5 linked regions of the Rattus norvegicus genome follow. The main gene of each other region encodes a partner of the protein of the gene in region 4 in a complex. Links are inferred from orthologs where the notes say so. Each region holds a gene or a part of one and is shown on either strand. Other genes may lie near its edges.

What was found.
Region 1: the proteins of Cltc (region 4) and Dlgap5 are in contact, whole or in part, in a crystal structure (PDB 7ZX4), measured with the Homo sapiens proteins. The link is inferred for Rattus norvegicus from reciprocal best matches to the Homo sapiens genes CLTC and DLGAP5. Residues at the interface, in NP_004850.1 of Homo sapiens: Val50, Arg64, Pro65, Ile66, Ser67, Ala68, Leu82, Lys83, Ala84, Thr87, Gln89, Phe91, Ile93, Lys96, Ser97, Lys98; in NP_055565.3 of Homo sapiens: Gly833, Asn834, Leu835, Ile836, Thr837, Phe838, Ser839, Pro840, Leu841.
Region 2: the proteins of Cltc (region 4) and Arrb1 are in contact, whole or in part, in a crystal structure (PDB 3GC3), measured with the Bos taurus proteins. The link is inferred for Rattus norvegicus from reciprocal best matches to the Homo sapiens genes CLTC and ARRB1. Residues at the interface, in NP_776448.1 of Bos taurus: His12, Leu13, Gln14, Gln16, Asn17, Leu18, Gly19, Val50, Asn56, Asp57, Pro58, Ser59, Asn60, Ile62, Arg63, Arg64, Pro65, Ile66, Ser67, Ala68, Lys78, Ile80, Leu82, Lys83, Ala84, Thr87, Gln89, Phe91, Asn92, Ile93; in NP_776668.1 of Bos taurus: His30, Ile31, Asp32, Leu33, Val34, Glu35, Pro36, Pro96, Thr98, Arg99, Tyr173, Pro175, Lys355, Thr374, Asn375, Leu376, Ile377, Glu378, Leu379, Asp380.
Region 3: the proteins of Cltc (region 4) and Cltb are in contact, whole or in part, in a cryo-EM structure (PDB 6SCT), measured with the Sus scrofa proteins. The link is inferred for Rattus norvegicus from reciprocal best matches to the Homo sapiens genes CLTC and CLTB. Residues at the interface, in NP_001139599.1 of Sus scrofa: Gln1291, Arg1293, Gly1294, Phe1296, Lys1326, Phe1327, Gln1354, Ala1355, His1356, Pro1382, Thr1383, Glu1413, Phe1414, Lys1415, Pro1416, Leu1417, Gln1444, Pro1446, Leu1447, Thr1473, Glu1474, Glu1475, Glu1503, Leu1504, Ile1505, Arg1508, Leu1533, Lys1535, Met1538, Lys1562; in XP_005661527.2 of Sus scrofa: Pro100, Ser102, Trp106, Gln110, Leu114, Ser121, Thr124, Glu125, Trp128, Arg129, Ala132, Asp135, Leu136, Trp139, Val147, Asn150, Lys151, Asn154, Arg155, Asp158, Tyr162, Glu191, Trp192, Lys194, Val195, Leu198, Cys199, Asp200, Phe201, Cys209.
Region 5: the proteins of Cltc (region 4) and Gtse1 are in contact, whole or in part, in a crystal structure (PDB 6QNP), measured with the Homo sapiens proteins. The link is inferred for Rattus norvegicus from reciprocal best matches to the Homo sapiens genes CLTC and GTSE1. Residues at the interface, in NP_004850.1 of Homo sapiens: Val50, Arg64, Pro65, Ile66, Ser67, Ala68, Leu82, Lys83, Ala84, Thr87, Gln89, Phe91, Asn92, Ile93, Lys96, Ser97, Lys98, Asp143, Arg144, His145, Trp164, Gln182, Leu183, Tyr184, Ser185, Arg188, Lys189, Val190, Ser191, Gln192; in NP_057510.5 of Homo sapiens: Ser686, Arg687, Pro688, Leu689, Ile690, Asp691, Leu692, Met693, Ser707, Pro708, Val709, Val710, Gly711, Gln712, Leu713, Ile714, Asp715, Leu716, Ser718.

Annotation. Positions count from the first base shown.
Region 1 is NC_086033.1:23,116,665-23,120,176, forward strand, and holds part of Dlgap5 (disks large-associated protein 5), read right to left. Parts: intron 3,293-3,512; coding exon 3,115-3,292; intron 2,950-3,114; coding exon of another isoform or gene 2,868-2,949; exon of another isoform or gene 672-2,867; intron 654-671; coding exon 593-653; intron 1-592. UniProt on the Homo sapiens protein: Potential cell cycle regulator that may play a role in carcinogenesis of cancer cells. Mitotic phosphoprotein regulated by the ubiquitin-proteasome pathway.
Region 2 is NC_086019.1:163,305,715-163,309,227, reverse strand, and holds part of Arrb1 (beta-arrestin-1), read right to left. Parts: exon of another isoform or gene 2,936-3,513; intron 2,930-2,935; coding exon 2,794-2,929; intron 1,497-2,793; coding exon 1,412-1,496; intron 1,023-1,411; coding exon 950-1,022; intron 1-949. UniProt on the Homo sapiens protein: Functions in regulating agonist-mediated G-protein coupled receptor (GPCR) signaling by mediating both receptor desensitization and resensitization processes.
Region 3 is NC_086035.1:10,005,268-10,009,522, reverse strand, and holds the start of Cltb (clathrin light chain B), read right to left. Parts: upstream 2,809-4,255; 5' UTR 2,781-2,808; coding exon 2,594-2,780; intron 1-2,593. UniProt on the Homo sapiens protein: Clathrin is the major protein of the polyhedral coat of coated pits and vesicles.
Region 4 is NC_086028.1:72,025,687-72,029,199, forward strand, and holds part of Cltc (clathrin heavy chain 1), read right to left. Parts: intron 2,677-3,513; coding exon 2,531-2,676; intron 2,074-2,530; coding exon 1,890-2,073; intron 1,706-1,889; coding exon 1,513-1,705; intron 780-1,512; coding exon 622-779; intron 1-621. UniProt on the Homo sapiens protein: Clathrin is the major protein of the polyhedral coat of coated pits and vesicles. Two different adapter protein complexes link the clathrin lattice either to the plasma membrane or to the trans-Golgi network.
Region 5 is NC_086025.1:118,836,671-118,840,183, reverse strand, and holds part of Gtse1 (G2 and S phase-expressed protein 1), read right to left. Parts: intron 2,986-3,513; coding exon 2,611-2,985; intron 1-2,610. UniProt on the Homo sapiens protein: May be involved in p53-induced cell cycle arrest in G2/M phase by interfering with microtubule rearrangements that are required to enter mitosis. Overexpression delays G2/M phase progression.

The sequences.
Region 1 (3,512 bases), on a different chromosome or scaffold from region 4:
TTCAGGACATCTGCACAGATCATAAAGAACACCGTGAGGAAGACAGCAGCCTTTTCAGCAAGCGCCCACTCAGCACAGAGTGGCACATGTTTTTGGGAAGAGAAAGTAAATTACAAGAGCAAACTGGGCCTGGTGTCCCCAGGACTCTGGGGCAAGAAGGTTCCAGTTCAAGGCCTACGGAGTGAAGGAAACCAGATGTAATAACACAGACGAGTAGTTACTGTCACCATCAAATCTGGTTCAAAGATTAGAGGCCATGGCAAGAGATGGCTCAGAGGTTAAGAGCACTGGCTGCTCTTCAGAGGGCCTGGGTTTGATTCCCAGCACCCACATGGCAGCTCACAACCGTGTGTAATTCCAGGTCCAGGAGACTATGCACACAGTGAATAGATATACATGCAGGCAAAACACAGAGACAGAAAGCAATTCTTTCAAAGAACTTTAAAGAGGCCATCTTGATGTGTCCTGAAGAACACAGCATGGCTTCAAACACCCCAAGGAACAGTCGAACGGGAACGACGACTCTGCCTGTTAGTGTCTTCATAAACACCACACCCATGGCTGCCTGCCACCACCGCGCACAAGGACTTACACGCTCTACGTCACTTGAATCTTGCTGTACGGGACACAGGATGTCTTCTACTTGGCTGCACCTGAAACGAGCCGTGGTATTATACACCAGTAACGAAACACATCACAGTCATCCACCCTGCATGGAGGCCACTAGCTTGCATAGTGGAACTGAACATAGAGCCTGGCCCAGGAGCCTGCTCCTCTGTACAGACTGGACAGTTTATGATGGCCACACAGACGACGCCCTCTTTCCCTAGAAGCTCACAGGCCCCTTCCCATGCCAACCGCTCAGGCTAATACGGTTCCACCTGCAATGCTGACTGTCAGCCAAACCCAGAGCCACAGGACTGGAACAGGTCAGGGTGAGGCTGGGCTCTGAAGCAAAGCAGCTCAGGCACTGTGAAGCGACTTTGCTGTGTCCTGTGTGACCATTCTTGCTACATAACCCAGGTTGGCTTCTCAACTCTCCTGCCTCAGCTTCCCAAGTGCTGGATCCACAGATGGGCTATCACGCCTGCAAGTTGGCCATGCTTACTTGATAGTATAACTCAATACATTTTAATCATAAACGTAAGTAGAGACCAGATCTGAGCATGTTTGTGCCCACAGACACAGACAGACACAACGAACATAGAAAACAATGCAACTGGAAACAATGACAACGAAGTCCAGGGCTGGCAGAGGGTGCTTGCCTAGCATGTGAAAGCTCTGTGTTCAATCCCAGGACCACCAAAATCAGAACCACAAACCCACTCTTTCGTATGTTAATAAAAAACTTTAAAAAATTTATCTGTCATAGTCTCTTCAGGGGCCAATAAGGTGATTCCTAGGTAAAGGAGCCTGCCACCAAGCCTGGTGACCTGAGCTCACCCCTGGAGCCACATGTTGGGGAGAGAGAACTGCTCGCTGAGAGCTGCCCTCTGGCTTCCACACATGTCACAGCATGCATGCGTGAATCTACACATTCGAAGTAATTAAACAGATTGCAATTTTGTCTTGCTGTGACCAGGATGGCCTCGAACTCACAGAGATCCACCTGCTTCTGCCTCCCGAGTGCTGGAATTAAAGGCATGTGCCACCACTGCCTGGTTCTAAGCTGTTTATTTTTAAGATGCCTTCTTGTAAGATGTTTGCAACAAAACATTTAAAAAACATTTTGTGTGTGTGTGTGTGTGTGTGTGTGTGTGTGTGTGTGTGTGTGTGTATTTGAAGGCCACAGGCTGGCAAAACAAATGCCTTTACCCACTGTTGCTGGTCCCAGAACCTGATTTTGGGAGGGACAATTACAATATAACTCAACTGCTATTACAGATCTTCCTAATACAGATAACGAATATAATTATACAAAGCAGCATGATAATAAATTGGTATCTTAAAAAACACAGATTTTGGGGCTGGAGAGATGGCTCAGTGGTTAAGAGCACTGACTGCTCTTTCAGAGGTCCTGAGTTCAAATCCCAGCAACCACATGGTGGCTCACAACCATCTGTAATAGAATTCAATGCCCTCTTCTGGTGTATCTGAAGACAGTGACAGTGTACTCAAATACATAAATATTAAAAAAAAAAAACACAGATTTTTATAATACCAAAAAGCATTTTTGTGGCCCTAAAAGGTGAAAATGCTTTTGGTATGTATTAAAGAATAGTTAAGGACTTCCATGTGCCTCTTCTATTTTGACGCACAGGGCCTGCCCCCACCCCATGCCACACTTAGTGGTATGTTTTTACAATGAGGAGTGTTCAATATTTTCCAAAGTTCAGATTAGTAACAAGCCCCGCATCTTCTCCAGACATCAGAGTACAGCTTCCTACTCCTCACGGTTCCCTTTCCCTCTCAGATGAGCCGCTGTAAGCGCAGCAGGCTAAGCTGATGCGACTGTGTAGAGAACGGATCAGCTGGGTCAATCGCAAGCTCAACCTCACTAGGATACACTTGGGTTTCTCCTCCAGCGTCTGGCATGGCTACTGTAAGGGCTGTCACGAGTTAACGTCCTAAAGCGATGTCTACACACTGGGCATCTTCTCTATAACCACGGTACGAGGGCACGAGCCTCTTCACCCCCACCAACGGCAGAGCGCTCCTGTTCCACAGATGAGGAGAGTGAGGCTGAGCGAATGACTTGTCCCACGTGCTCAAGCTGCATGCCACATGGGTGGCTTTGAGCTGAGATCTGCCGTGCACAGAAGACACCACACTGCTTCTCTCCCATGTACCGCACTTTTGCCATTCACAACAGGACCACTTATCAACTTCAGTCTTGGTGCTTTCTCTTAAGACACTGGTGTTTGTTGCTAAGGCTGGTTCCAAACTGCTGGTAATACTCCTTCCACCTCAGTCTCCTGAGTGGCTTGGACTACTCCAGTTGACGCCAACCTGAAACAGGACGTCTGTTTCCTCAGAATACAGCCAGACTTGCCCACAGTGCGGGGTTATAAGTTTAATTAGAAACGTACAGCTGTCACACTCCACCAGCTTAACTGTATGGAATGGCAGCTCACGTCAACACGGTTAATCTCACAATACACATTAAAGAGATACCTGCTTTCAAGTCCATCTGAAAACGTCCGATCAACATGCTCGATCGTGCTGCTCTGCGGGTCAGGCCTCTTCAGTGGCGTCTTCTGTCTGAGAAGGTCCCCTGCAGCCCTGCCCTCAGGCACAGCTCTGCTGGCAGACACGTGTGCTCCGAATTGAGAACGACGTTCAGAGGACAGGACTAGAAAAGAAAAAACAACCTCCATCGCAAGTCTTTTCGATCATTTTTTTGTTTAGAAAGGCAGTACAGAGCCTACTCTTGTTACTGCCGGTGCCAGGAACCTTCTGTGACAAGAGGATTACCACGTTAGCCCATGCTTCGCTTTGCTATGCCGTGCCCACGATGCAGACAACCGTGTAGGTAAGCATGCATATACATAAAATAAAACACTAAAACTTAC
Region 2 (3,513 bases), on a different chromosome or scaffold from region 4:
GCTGTTGTGAGCTGCCTGACATGGGGACTGGAAAATGAACCCTGGTCCTCTAGAGGAACAGCAAGGGCTCCTAACTACTCAGCCCACGTTTACTTTCAAAAGTATCACTGCATGCAAACCATGAGTAAGTGTCTGGCAGCTCCTACCCAGGTTCTACCACTGAAACTCTACTTGCTCTAATGCGTATCCATCAGTCATGTACAGGAACCTCCGTTGTTCACTCTGGCCTGGTGCTATTTTATCCCCCCTCTCCCTTTCCAAAGATGAGACAGATGCATTCACCTGACACCAGGGCAGCCATGGAGTAAGGCCCAGCTTTGCCTCTTGGAGCAGAGCCAGCCACATCTCAACCCCCTAGCCCAACCCCACGGGAAACCATGCTCACTGGAAGCCCAGACGACTATCCTTCCTCCAGGCTGCAGATGCATATACAGACTATGGTGTCCCACCTGGGGTTAAATGCTGTCCTGGCTCTAGGTCGTTGCAATGAACCCCCAACATCTATGCCTTGTGGCTGCGGACTTCATTTTTAATCAACAGTGAATATGAGACTATCCAATAATGCAAGAATAGTTGGTTTGATATTAACATCTCTGTCTCTAGGATATTAGAAACCAGGTCTAAGTGGCAGGTGTGGCTGGCTCACGCCTATAATGTCAGCACCTGGAGGAAGACTCTTCCGTGCCATCTACTGTGAATGTCAAAGAAGGCAGAGGCCCGGCTCTCTGCAGGTTGATTAAAGATGCCTGGTCCTGGGGCTGGGGATTTAGCTCAGTGGTAGAGCGCTTACCTAGGAAGCACAAGGCCCTGGGTTCGGTCCCCAGCTCCGAAAAAAAGAACCAAAAAAAAAAAAAAAAAAAAAAAAAAAAAGATGCCTGGTCCTAGACTCAGAACTTCCCTTTCTCCTATCTAGTCCCACCCATCCAAAGTTGGCTTCAAACACACTTACTCAGCTTCCTCCATGGCCACTGGGCACTTGTACTGAGCTGTGTTGAAGAGACAGATGTCTGCATACTGGCGCACTGGAGAGAGAGGGGCCGGGGAGGTGGGCGCATGAGTCAGGGGTCCCTCTCATGATATACCTCAAGCTCCCTGTGGCAGATGTGCTTGCTTAGATTGAGACAATGGCCAGCATTTACCACAGGCCACCACCCCAGACTCCACCCAAACAGAAACCCCATCAAAGCCTAGTCCCTTCCATGACGAAGTCTTTCTTCCCAGGACAGCTTGGCCAGAGCCCAGGAAGCCTAAGAAGGAATCTGCAAGGCAGTAAACCCATTGCCCAGCTTTGAAGCCACTGTAGGCTGCCGGCAGACGCAAGCTTCAGGAAGCTACTAATGGTACTGTCTCAGGCTTTTAATGAAGACCACGCCTGCCGCTATCCCACCCCCCCAGAAGGATTCCCAGCTACCCGAGATCTTGATCTTCTTCACAGTCTTGTTGGTGTTGTTGGTGACATGGACATTGACGCTGATGGGCTCTCCATGATAATAGATCTGTGAGGCAAAAGACAGAAGAGTGTGGGCAGGGACACTAAACTCTGCCCCCTAGCTCTTCAGCCACTTCCCACTGACATAAAAGTGTCACAAAACTACCAAGTGTATATGAACCTTCAGTACCACTGTAGGACCTTTCAAAGACGTCTGTACTAGATGTCTTTCCATTCCAGGACTGAGGGGACGGCTTTGTCAGTAAAGTACTTGTGTTGCAAACACAAGGAACTAAGTTTGATCTCCAGAAGCTGTGTAGAAATGCTGGGTACTTGTAATCCCAGCACTAGGAAGGCAGAGACAAGAGGACCCCTGGGGCTCAATGCCCACAGAATCTAGCCCAGGTAAGCTCTGTACCACTGACAGACTGCCTCAAAGGAGCTGGATGGCATTTCTGAGAATGACACCTTCAAGATTGTCCTCCAGGTCCACACACATGCATGTGTGGGCACACGTGCACACACACACACACACACACACACACACACACACACCACACATACATACACACACATACATACCACACACACACATACATCACACACACATACACACGCACATATACATACCACATACACACACACATACACAAGCACCCATGCACCCATGCACGCCCACATACACACATAGGAAAAAGAAAAAGAAGCTGACATCCTCGGCTCCAGTCCCATTCTGATCACTAGCTCAAACAACAATAATAGCAATGATGATAAACATTGCATGACCTTGGACAGGTTATCTGAGACTCTGCTTCTCCTTATTCTATGTGCAGGCTTGGACAGAGCAAGGCCTCAAGTCCCTGTGGGCTCTGATGGTCTGGGTTCGCAGACACATTAAACTCTGGAAAATTCAGGAGAAGAGAGGAAAGGCTAACCAACTAAAGGACCTGCTCGGAATTCTTAGAGAATTCCACCACTCGTCCAGGCCCTTGCCTTTAGCTGCCCCAAGAAGGAGGAGGTGCACTCCTACACCCCAGTCAGTTGGCTTAGTCACCTGACTTCAAGGGTTTTTCACCTTCTTGCTCATAGATAAGAGGGTAATAGCAAGGCATCCTTGGGTCCTCTTTCCCATCATCACCCCTGCTGATGTGCTGGGCTTCTCCACCCGGTCTCAAGCAGGCAATTATCAGAGTGTGAAGAGAAGGACCAGAACCCTTCCATTGCTCCCATCCTGTAAATGCCCATGCCTACCTCTGTCAGTCCTTTGAACCACAACAGGGTTCTGCAAACACTTAAGGGCTGTCAGGAGACACTGGGATCTGAGGGGTAGTAGAGCTGGGGACAATGGGATCTGAGTCTCTTACCTCCTTATCCAGAGATGCCTCAAGGTGCAGGGGCTTGTCCGACATGAGGAACTGTCTGGTGGTCTCAGCCGTGGGCTGAGGGCCAGGCCTCTCAGGGGCATATTGAACCTTCCGGATGACTAGCCGCACAGAATTCCTAAAGAAGATGGATGGGGAGAAAGACAGACAGAGTCACCGGCCCCCACACTCCCTTCTCTGCTCAAGTGGCTACTGCAGCTCCCTCTTGCTCGCCAATCACGGTGGTTAACCTGGAGGGTTTGTCACCATGTGACACAGCCCCAGCCTCCTCAACCCTGTCCCTGAGCCATTCGACAGCAGTGCTTCATTTGGGTCTGTGGATCCCAGGACCCAGCACAATAAATAGTAAGAAAGGGACTATTTTTTACTTCTTGCTCCCTGTCTCCTGATCGCGTGAGCCACTGGAGGATGGGAACTTCTTACCTAGCTGGTTCACCACCACAGTCTCAGCACGTGGGTCAGCACCTGCCGCCTGGCACTTGCTAAGTGGAAGTGTGCAGAACTAACAGCCCTCATGGAGGAGGATGTCCATTATAGGATGTGGATTCAGCCAAGAGTGCAGGACAGTGAAGAGGTGACTCAGAGAGGCCCACGAATGAGAGTTCAATGGAGGTCACAGGGCTTAGGGTAGAAGCCGGGACAGACTGAGCTGGCGAGTTACGGCATGCTCTGGGGAAATTACCTCCCTGTGCATCAGTTCCC
Region 3 (4,255 bases), on a different chromosome or scaffold from region 4:
AGGCCTCCAGGAAAATGGGTCATTGTTAGCCTCTTTGGGACAGCATACACACTCACTCTCGGAATCACCAGCGTGTATCCCCACAGGGCTCTTGCACATTTAGGATTCCAACTCTAAAACAGTGCCCGGCAGAACAAACACAGCAAGGCAAATAACGAGTCCCAAGGATAGGGTTTTTGGTGTGCAACCTCCTCGGGAATAAGGGCAAAGGATCCAGAACATTCCTGAGAGCTTACTGAGGCCAGCAGGGGCAATAGGATTACACGGAGCTGGCCCATAAGTCAGTCTAGCCAAGAGCCGGGAGAACAGGGTGTGAAAGTGTAGAGCATTTGGGCAGTGCCCAAGGCTGATGAATGGAAACAAAGTATCCGCGGCTCAGGCCCGCTGCAGATCTGGCGAGAGGGAAGGCTCAGTGGGGTTCCGGTTCAGGCCTAAGCCAGACACAGCTTTCCCCAGGCAGCCAGCCTGAGAGCCAGCGCAGTGAAGCAGTTGAACTCCCGCACAGAACTGCTATCAGAAGACCTCATTGTCTAAGGGAGGTGACTCAGAGGTGTGCATTGGTGGCTGCTGTTAGAATCAGATTCTTTTCAGCTCCCAGAAGGCCCAGACAGTTCACCTCAGACCACCCAGGCTTCTACCATTCCCTGCGATGCAGAGGTGTGTCCCACCATCTGGGCTTTGGAGAATGGGGTCCCTTTTTTTTTTTTTTTTTTTCGGAGCTGGGGACCGAACCCAGGGCCTTGTGCTTGCTAGGCAAGCACTCTACCACTGAGCTAAATCCTCAACCCCAGAATGGGGTCCCTTCTTTTTATGCTTGAACAGCCGTTGAACTCCCTCCTGAAGCATCCCCTTCTTCCCCAAACTGTCACTCCGAAGGGCAGCTGGGCACCTGCAGCATCAAATGTAGGAGTCCGGGAGACTCTCAGAGGGCCATGTCCCTGGCAGCTCCCCTAAGGATTATCCCCACTGTCCCCCTCCAGGTTATCTCATATCTAGGGCCATTCAGTGCCCTACCCACTCAGATTGTCAGTCCCTAGGAAAGATGACAACTTGCAAAATCCCAGGTTCATGTGGCCATCCTCAGCCCGAACCGCATCTGTCTTTCTCCTGAGTTTCTGACAACCTGGGACCTCCTAACGAGGGAAAAGACTGTTCTCAAGGGGTAACCGTGGACAAGTGAGTCCCATGCAGGAACTTAGGTAGCTTCACTGGGACAATGAAGGGCCTATGTTGAGGTACTGAGAGCTGCTATTTCAGACCTGCATGGATGGCTTGGCTAGACCCTGCTGCTCCTTGCCTTATCCAATCATCCCCTAAGAAGACCCCAAGACCTATCATTCATGGCTGTGTGGCCCTAGGCAAGACATTCAAACTCCAGGGTTTTTTTCTTTTTAATTATTATTATTATCTATGTCTTATTTATGTGTGTGTTTTGTGTGTACAGCGCACACTTGTATGTGAGGTCAGAGGACAATTTGTGGGCGTGAGTTCTCTCTACCACGTGGTTTCCACGAACCGAGCTCAGGTGTCATCACCTGGGTTGATTTACCTTGACTCCCCAAGCCATCCTGATAATCCCTCAAACTCTAGCTTCGTGTATGTTACAGAAGGCTTATTACACTCTTATGTCAGAGTTCATTCAACTGCTTGGCCATAGATACAGTTTCTTCTTCTTTCTGTGTCCCCAGCAGGGATGGCAACACAGTAAAATGTTGAATGAAAGGAAGATAAACATAATATCTACAATTCTTATTTCCAACAGGACCCATTAAACCTCTTTAACATGACACCAAAAAAGAAAAAAAAAAAAAAAGAAAGAAAGAAAGAAAAGAAAGGAAACAAGATCTATTAGGAGTGCAACCAGGAAGGTTCATATTTTTACTAAATATTTAAGTATATTTATAAGAACAAACAGGAAGGGTACAGCCCATGGTCATGTGTGCCCCTGTCCAGACCTACAGTCAGGCTCTTGAAAGACTGTGTGGTACGGACAAGACTCAGCATCCGACAGAAGGGGTTTAATTCTCGATTGCTACTTCCTAGTTGTTTTAACACCCTTTGAAGCCAGTTCTGAAATGGGTTCCGTAACGTGTATGAAATTATTCTATGTAATTAACATTGTCTCCTGCAGGACGGCAGGTGGTCCCCAAGGAAGAGCTGCTGCGAGTTCTCCTGCGAGCGCCCCCTGCTTCCTTGCAGAATGGAACGCTAAGCCCTCCTGGGTCAGGAGGACTGTGTCTGTCCCACACCTGTACCACTTAGCTAGGACAATGGGACAGTCTCAGAACCGAGCAGGGGGAGGGTTCCAGAGCCAGACGGTGGAGGAGTTGGCCTGGAGATGAAATGTCATGACTAAAATTCCTGTCCCCAGAGTCAGCAGATCCAGCCTCAGCGCAGGCTCCAACTCATCTCCCGGCTCCTCCCTCTTTTCCCAGGCCTCACAGATACACACAGCCCCCCGGGGTACCCCTGGTCACCCTGGATAGCTGGGTTCAGACTACTGCAGGAACCCAGGCCGGGTCTGATCGAGACTGGGCCTCCCGCCCCCGGTGGTGGCCTCGGCCCCCCGTTCCAGGCCGCTGCGCTGACTCACCCCCGCTCGCGAGTCCGGGCTGCGCAGAGGCCACCTGGCTGGCGGCAGGTGCCCCGAAACCCGAGTCATTCTCGATGCCAGCAATCTCGCTCTCCTGCTGGGCCAGGAAGGCGGCCGCCGGGTCCTCCTCGGCGGCCTCGGGGGCCCCGCTCTCCGACGACGAGAAGAAGCCGAAGTCCTCAGCCATCTTCCCCGCGTGGCTGCTGTCACCTCCCGCCCGCACCCGCGGCCCGCACTTCCCGTCACCCGCCGGGCTTGCCTGTCACTGCGGCTGCAGCGGCGGCGGGAGGAGTCGCGGCGGGAATGTGGTGACGTCAGCGGCCGAGGGCGGGGCCCGCGGGGCTGGGTGGTCGCCCCGCCCTCGGTTCGAGCCCCGGGGCAGCCCACCTACCGCCTCACCAGCCCCAGAGCGTGCAAGCCTCCCGAGCCCGCCCGGGTCCATTCACGGAAAAGTTTCTCCTATTTTTGTAGCTGCGTGATATGAACGCCCTTTTCCTGCGTAGGAGGAGGGAGCTGAGTGCCCGGTGCGCGCAGCAGAGCCTTGTTCTCTTGGCCTAGGACGGCACGAATCATCCCGCCGCCCTATCTGTGTGATGATCCCCTGAAATCAGGGACGGTTCCTCTTTCTCTGTGTCTGGTGACATTGATGTTCGAGAAGGCAACTGGCTGATTGTTTTGTCTCTCCACTTGAGCTCTTTCTTTAGTTATTCAGATTAATGTGACCGAGTTCTTACAGCAGAATGTCAGTTTGTCCCATTATTGGTTAGGTTCACGTTGATCATTCAGTACAGGTGGAGCCTGTTCTCTCCACAGTAAAGTTGCCATTTTCTTTGGTAATTAACAATATATGTTTTGAGACAGCAGATTGTATGTCATGCCTCAAACTCTCACTGCAATCATTTTCGCTTTTTTTTTTAATGTAGCCTATCTGACCTTGAATGTATAGTTGAGGCTTCAAACTAGACTAGTGACCTTTAAAAAAAAATAGAATATCCTTTTTTTTTTTTTGGATGTGTTTTTGTTTTTCAAGGCAGGGTTGTTGCGTGTATTCCTGGCTATTCCTGGAGCTCATGCTGTAGATAAGACTGGGCTCAAATTCACAGAGATCTGCGCGTGCTCTGCCTCTGGGGTTGGGATTAAAGGCATGCACCACCACTGCCCGGAGATAACTCTCTCTCTCTTTTTTTTTTTTTCTTTGACAATTTTATACATACAAGTAATGTATTTTGATCATATGCACCCCCCTCACTTATCTCAGGCCTCCCAGGTACCCCCCCAACAATTGCCCTCCCCCTTCATATTCTCTCCTTTTTGGTGTTAATAACCCACTGAGCTCAATTAACGCTGCTGCCGGAGGGATGGTCTTGTACAGGTAGCTGCAGTGAAGGTACTCAGAGCTTCAGTGGGTTCACGGTTGATGTCAGCCTCAGAAAAGCATTTCACGGGGCTGGAGAGATGGCTCAGCGGTTAAGAGCACTGACTGGGGGTTGGGGATTTAGCTCAGTGGTAGGTCGCTTGCCTAGCAAGCACAAGGCCCTGGGTTCGGTCCCCAGCTCCGAAAAATAGAAAAGAAAAAAAGAAAAAAAAGGAAAAAAAAAAGCACTGACTGCTCTTCCAGAGGTCCTGAGTTCAATTCCCAGCAACCACATGGTGACTCACAAC
Region 4 (3,513 bases):
TCTTACACCAAAGGAAAAGATATGCATATGCTGTAATCCAGCACCCAGAAGTTGATGCAGTTTACCAAGTTTAAAGACACATCCTTCATGCCACTGAGGAATTCCATCTCAAAAATTACAAATAAAATGAATGAACATATACACACTCCTAAGAACAGTTTAATTTCATAGTCCTAACACATTGATTCTGCCAGGGTGGTAAGCTGCTCATTGAATTTTCATGTGTTAAAATGTGGAGGTAGGAAGATAACTCAGTTGGAAAGTACTTGCCGTGTAAACAATAGGATGTGAGTTAATATCCATGACCCACATAAAAAGTCAGGTGTGGTGTGTGCTTGGAATCCCAGCAGAGTGGTAGGTCAGTCTTTTGTGCTTGCTGGCCAGCTAGCTCAAATTACTTAGACCCATGCCAACAAGAGACCCTGTTGTTTTTTTCTAAGTGGATGGTTTCTAAGGAATAAAAATAAAGCCTGCCCTTGGCCTTCATATGCACTTTTATGCGAGCATCCCACTAAACACGCGCGCGCGCGCACACACGCACACACACACACACACACACACACACACACACACACACACACACACACACGAGAGGGGAGGGAATTTAAACAGGAAACTCACTTGCTGAATATGAGCATTATTTGGCCCATTGATGAACTCTTCTAATTCTGCAAGACGGTTTGTTTTAGCCAGTGCAAATATCAATTCTGTCTCCACGTAGGACTCTCGGGCCTTCTTGCGTGCCATCTGCAAATACTTCACCAATTCTTCCCAGTTTCCTAAATAAAGAGAAAAATAAGCCCATAAACTAGCACTCTTATATTTCCAACCAAATATGTTAGATGTCCCCCTGCTAATTTGTTTTTTGAGAGTGTCATGCTATGTATATAGCCTAGGCAGTCCGTGAATTTAAGGCCTCCTGCCTCAGTGGCAGGAGTACATCACCACACCAGCTTAACTCTTTTTTCAAAGAAATATTATGTAGAATGACAAATGTAAAACTGGATATATCTAAAGTCTAAAAATTCCACTACACGTCTGTATTATTACTGCCCTAAAATTGCTTGATACTTCTCCCCACTTTAAAGTTATATACTAGAGCTCTATCAGGATTTTATCAGACCTCAAAACAAAATTAATTTTCTCCATGGATTTTCTTTTTTTTTTTTAATTTATTCATTTATTATATATAAGTACACTGTAGCTGTCTTCAGACACACCAGAAGAGGGCATCGGATCTCTTTATAGATGGTTGTGAGCCACCATGTGGTTGCTGGGAATTGAACTCAGGACCTCTGGAAGAGCAGTCGGTGCTCTTAACCGCTGAGCCATCTCTCCAGCCCCCTGGATTTTCTAAATTCATATAATTCAGTCAGTCTGAGATGCTGAGCTGAACGTTTTCACAAGTAACCAGGGAGTGCTAACCTCTATACTAGCAAAAGTATAGAATGTACTGAATGTTTGGCTTAGTAATTGTTTGGAGGTCTTAAAGACATAGACAAGAAGCCTTACCACTAGTATTGGCGGCCTGAACAACTTCCATGTAAGACGAAGGATCATCTGCTTTGATGTAAGAATCAATGGCTTCCTTCACCATCCCTTTCTGCAACTGAGCTTTTGCGAGTTGACTCCAAACAGCAGGCTCATTGCAGCGTTCAGCAAACTCATATGCACGATCCAGGTTTCCAATATGTTCAATTAACACCTGGGCAACATTTTTGAATTGGTGTTACAGTAAAATGGATCTTACCCAACAGAATTACATTTAAACAGACAGCATTTTATGATTATTCTGTGAAAGCAATCTGTGCACACGCTCACAAGACAATATATTCTTAACATCAAGACATTAGAGTCAGTATCTCAATTTATGTAACTTCATGATTTACCTGCACTGCTGAAGTATTGACATCAAACTTCCGGAAAATAGCAAATGCTTCTTCGAAGAGCTCATTGCTGATGGCAATGTTGGCAATATCTGGCGCATCATAATTGTCCAGGCGGTTAATATACTCCATAACTCGGGTTCGGTCAGCCTTAATTGCAGTGAGGATGAGGAGGTTTTGCAGATTCCTTAAGAAACAAACATTCAACACAATGTTTAAAAAGGTCATCAATGATGAGGAAACACTGTGGCACTAGACGGTTACTTGTGTCAAGGTCAAGGTAAGAAGAGACAGTATTAGGAGAGTAACAATCAAGAAAGCTGCCTAGTTGGGGATTTAGCTCAGTGGTAGAGCACTTGCCTAGGAAGCGCAAGGCCCTGGGTTCGGTCCCCAGCTCCGAAAAAAAAAAAAAGTTTAAAAAAGGTGATTACTTTTGGGGCTGGGGATTTAGCTCAGTGGTAGAGCGCTTACCTAGGAAGCGCAAGGCCCTGGGTTCGATCCCCAGCTCCGAAAAAAAGAACCAAAAAAAAAAAAAAAAAAAAAAAAAAAGAAAGCTGCCTATTCACTTTGTTTCTGTTCCTTCCCCAAACTGACAGGCCACAGTGAAAGACTGAGAAAGCCAATGCAATCCCCTGCCAGCTTACCTGTGTTCACTGAATACAGAGTTATCAAGGACAATTTTCTCCAGCAGCTCAATGAGTTCATTAGGAAGATCTGCTGTCATAAAAGCCTTGACAGTTACTGACACTTCTTCTGGGTCCTGAGTTTCAGACAAGGCTGTCTGTACGACCTACAAAGGACATACATGGAAGAGTTAAAAAAATAAAAAAATAAAAAATCAAGGTGTTTTTAAAAAGACATTGGCTGGTAACAATAAGTTAGTTAACATCTCAATAGAAAATCTCAAATAGAAGGAAAAATGCCCTTTCTACTCGAAGACCTTTGTACACAATATACATGGACACACATTGTTTATAATTATGTTCCCATCAGCAGTTATGTCACTTGCACTTTCCCTGATAGAACACTATCCATGATAACTTATCACTATTACTGTAATGGGTCCTCATCTTCAAATCCCTAGACACAGATTAGGAAATGAACAACCCTCGTTTGTCTACTTCCATATGCCCAGATGCCATGAGTGCAGGAAGCTTTATCTACATGGGAATGCGCCTTGGAAATGCTTTCTAGAGAGTGTGTGTCACTCTCTTTTTGTGTGTCAGAAGAATTTAAGAATCATTATTATAACAAGCAATAATTAGCGCTTTAAATTCAAGATTTCAATTTCATATAGGTATAAAAATCTCCACTGCAGTGCTGTGTTACTTAGTTAGAATTCTTATACTGGTTTGGGTACAGTGTGTGCATGAAGGTGTACAGGTGCTGTGTCTTGCCAGTCACCAGCATGCTCCAGAGGTCTTCCTGTCTGCCTACCCAGCCCTGCTTGTAGGCGATGCTAGTAACCAGAAACTGGGTCACACTTACCAATAATCTTCATGATACTTGGAATTTAGAAAAGAATTGGAGATAGAATCTTGCTACACTCACAGGATGATGTTAATTAACTCAAACTCATACTCTTTCTTTCTCTCTCAAACTCCTAAGTACTAGGGACTTTAAGCTG
Region 5 (3,513 bases), on a different chromosome or scaffold from region 4:
CTAACTGATGCAAGGGTCCAGCCTGCTGTAATGGTACCAGCCTTGGGCAGGTAGGCAGCATTCCTCTGTAGTCTTTGCTTGAATCTCTGCTCTGACTTCCCTCAGTGCTGAGCTATGATGTGGAAGTGTAAGCCAAATAAACTCAAGGTGCCTTGGTCCTGGGTGTTTATCGGAGTGACAGAAAGCAAACTAGAATACTGTCTAATCTCGTCTCCAACTGTCTTCAATATTCTACTGCTGTAAGGCACCAGAACCCAGGTACCTTACAGAGGAAAGCATTTAACTGGGGCCCACAGTTTCAGAGTCCATGACCATCACGGCAGGAAGCATTGCAGCAAGAAGGCGAGCATGATACTGGACAGTAGCTGGGAGCTTACGTCTGAACCACAAGCATGAGGCAGTTACCTGCAAACGGAGTGGGCTTTTGAAACTTCAAAGCTCACCCTCCAGAGACACACCTCCTTCAACAAGGCCACACCCCCTAATCCACGAGGCAACTCACATGTCTGTAATTCTAGTTCCTGGGGACCTAAAGCCCAGTTCTGTCTTCTATACTGGGCATGGCATACATAAGGTGTATACATATACATTCAGGCAAAACAATCACACACAAAAAAATAGATCTTAAATATTCTTTGTAAGATGTCTTACCATAGGATCCTTTGTCTTTAAACATGACAGCATAAGAAAGATATTCAGATAAGACCAAAATCTTGGGTTTTGTTTTATTTGGGGACATGGTCTCACTCTGTAGCCCAGGTTAGCCTAGAACTTGTGATCTCCTGCCCCAGTCTCCCCTGTACTGGGATCATAGGCAGAAGCCACTGTGTCTGATGTGTTTCCCTTTCCTTCTTCTCCATCCTCCTCCTACTGTTGCTTTGTTGTTGTGTAGTTGTTTTTTGAACTAGTATCTCACTGTGCAGCTCTAGGTATCCTGGAACTCCCTGTGTAGATCAAGCTGGCCTTGAACTCCAGAGATGCACCTTTCTCTGCTTCCCTCAGTGAGTAGAGGGCCCTGGCCAACCAGAGCCAGCAGAGCAGCTGCCATGGTGTGCCTGAGTCTCCTCTCTGCTTACAGGTTCTGGGGTGCCCACCTGAGCACCACCACAGGCAGAGCTGGGAGCCAGGAAGCCTGCTGCAGTCAAAGGCAGAGGCCAGAGGCCAAGGAGAAAGACTTCAGCATTGACCACTCATCAAACCTTACTACTGCTGTGTGTTCAGGGGCTTCTTATGCTCTCTGGAGACTGAAAGAAACAAACTGGGATCACATTCAGAGAAGGCCCCTGCCTCTGCCCACCGACCGGTGACAACCCTTTTCAATGTCTTTCTTTTGTTGCTGGCTCTGTTCTATTTATTTATTTATTCATTTATTTACTTATTTATTTACTTTGGAGACAGGGTCTACTGTGCTGTCTTGGCTCATCTTTGTTTTCTGGACTAGGCTGGCCTTGAATTTAAATATGCCTGCCTCCGGCTCCTGAGTGCTGGGTTAAAGATGTTATATTTATCCACACTGTGGAAAGACAAAACCAATTCTGAAAAGATATACTCTGAACTCCAGGTGTGTCACAGTACATACACACACCCACAGGTATTAAAACTCTTCTAACAAATATTTTCAGTGAAGAGCTTTCTGTTTATTTTTTATTAATTTATTTTATGTATGAGTACACTGTAGCTGTCTTCAGACACACCAGAAGAGGGCATCAGATGCCATTACAGATGGTTGTGAGCCCCCATGTGGTTGCTGGGAATTGAACTCAGGACCTCTGGAAGAGCAGTCAGTGCTCTTAACCACTGAGCCATCTCTCCAGCCTGAGCCAAGCTTTAAATAGGAAAAAACGAGAAATACTTGGTTTTGTTTTTAACACTGTCTCACTGTGTGGTCCTGGGTGGCCAGGAACTCATTATGCAGAACATGCTGGTTTTGATAAACCAGAGCAGGACAGTCTTACTGGCTGAGAGGACAATGGCTAGCATCTGAGGGACTGAGGTATAGAATCTGAGAGCCAGAGAGCTGGAGAGAAGCAACACAGAGAAAATGACTCTAGAAAACTCTGTAGCATCTCCTGAAAGGGCGCTGCACAGCGGCAGCACTGTGCAGGCAAGATGCCTCAAGGTCGAGACAAGCAACTAACGGAGAACAAGGAACAGCACAGCCCCCAGCCTGAGTGGGCCGAGCAAACAACAGGACACTTAGCAGTGCCTGTGCAAAACCCCACACTGCAACAGGCCAAACAGCGCCCATTCCAGACCCATCCGTGACAGCGGAGCAGACTGGGCTACATTCACTGGTTGCCAAGCTCAGCCCCTTAAGGGAAACATAGTCCAGGGGGTTAAAAACAGAACCACAGAAGCAGAACAGCAACAGCAACAGAACAATGAAGCTCTCACCACCCAGGTGGGACAAAAGCCACCACACCTGTGGACAACCACACTGATGACAAGAGTGAGAGAGACGCAGGCCAGGGGCGGGCTTATCCAGAGAAATGGACACAAGAGGGTGGCAGAACACACCCTGGACAGAGTCAGAGTTAAAGAAGCCAACAGCACCAGCCGCACCAGTAGCCTCCCCAAAATCTTAAAACCGACCAATGTAGCTGTACTTACCAACAGAAAACTGGGGCACTTTAAATGGGTTTGTTGTGGTAGATACGGCCTCTGTCTTGCAGCCTAGAGAGGAGTCCTGTCGTTTTATGCTGACAGTTTTATTCAACTGACATGTCTCGGTGTCCAGGTCCACTCTGGGTCCTTTGTGTTTTGGAGTCTGGGGTTGTTGAGCAAGAGGACTTGGGGTGAGGGCCTTGGGCTGCTCTGCCACTGTCTGGGCAGCATCAGCCTTTTTGGCTTGTCTGCAAAATGCTCTGGCAGGGGCTGCTGGCAAAGCCTGGTGTGACGTGGCAAGTCCTACTCTGCCCAACTTGCTGGTGACTGACTGACGCCGGGAGCTGCTAGCGGGAATACTTGAAAGTTCACTGGACTTTGCTGCAAAAGTTGATAATCAAGGCTGGTTACTCAAGCCAGTTTCCAAACAGTTTAAAACATACACGCACGCACACACACACACACACACACACACACACACACACACACACACACAATGACACCTCTAGAATATCTAGCTAACATCAGACATACTGGATGCCCATTAGGCGATGACCGTGAGGACCAGCAGGATGTGTGAACCTGAGCTGAGTACCGTCTAACTCTCAGCCTGTGTGTGCACTCACAAGGCTAAGCTCTTCTTTCTTCGCTTCCTTGATGAGCAGAAGAAAGTGGACAGTGTAGTCGACAAGCAATGGACCTACTGTGTGAGTCCACAGTGAAGACTCAAGGGGAAACTTAAGGGAATAGTTACCGTTGTAGCCATGTCTATATGGTATGTTAGCCCTACTACGTCCTACCCCACTATCTCATCTGACTCTATGACTCTACCATAAACAACACACGGTGCCAGTGTCCTGAGTCAGTAGAGAAAGACCCACCTCACAGCTCCTGCACAGTGGCAGCCAT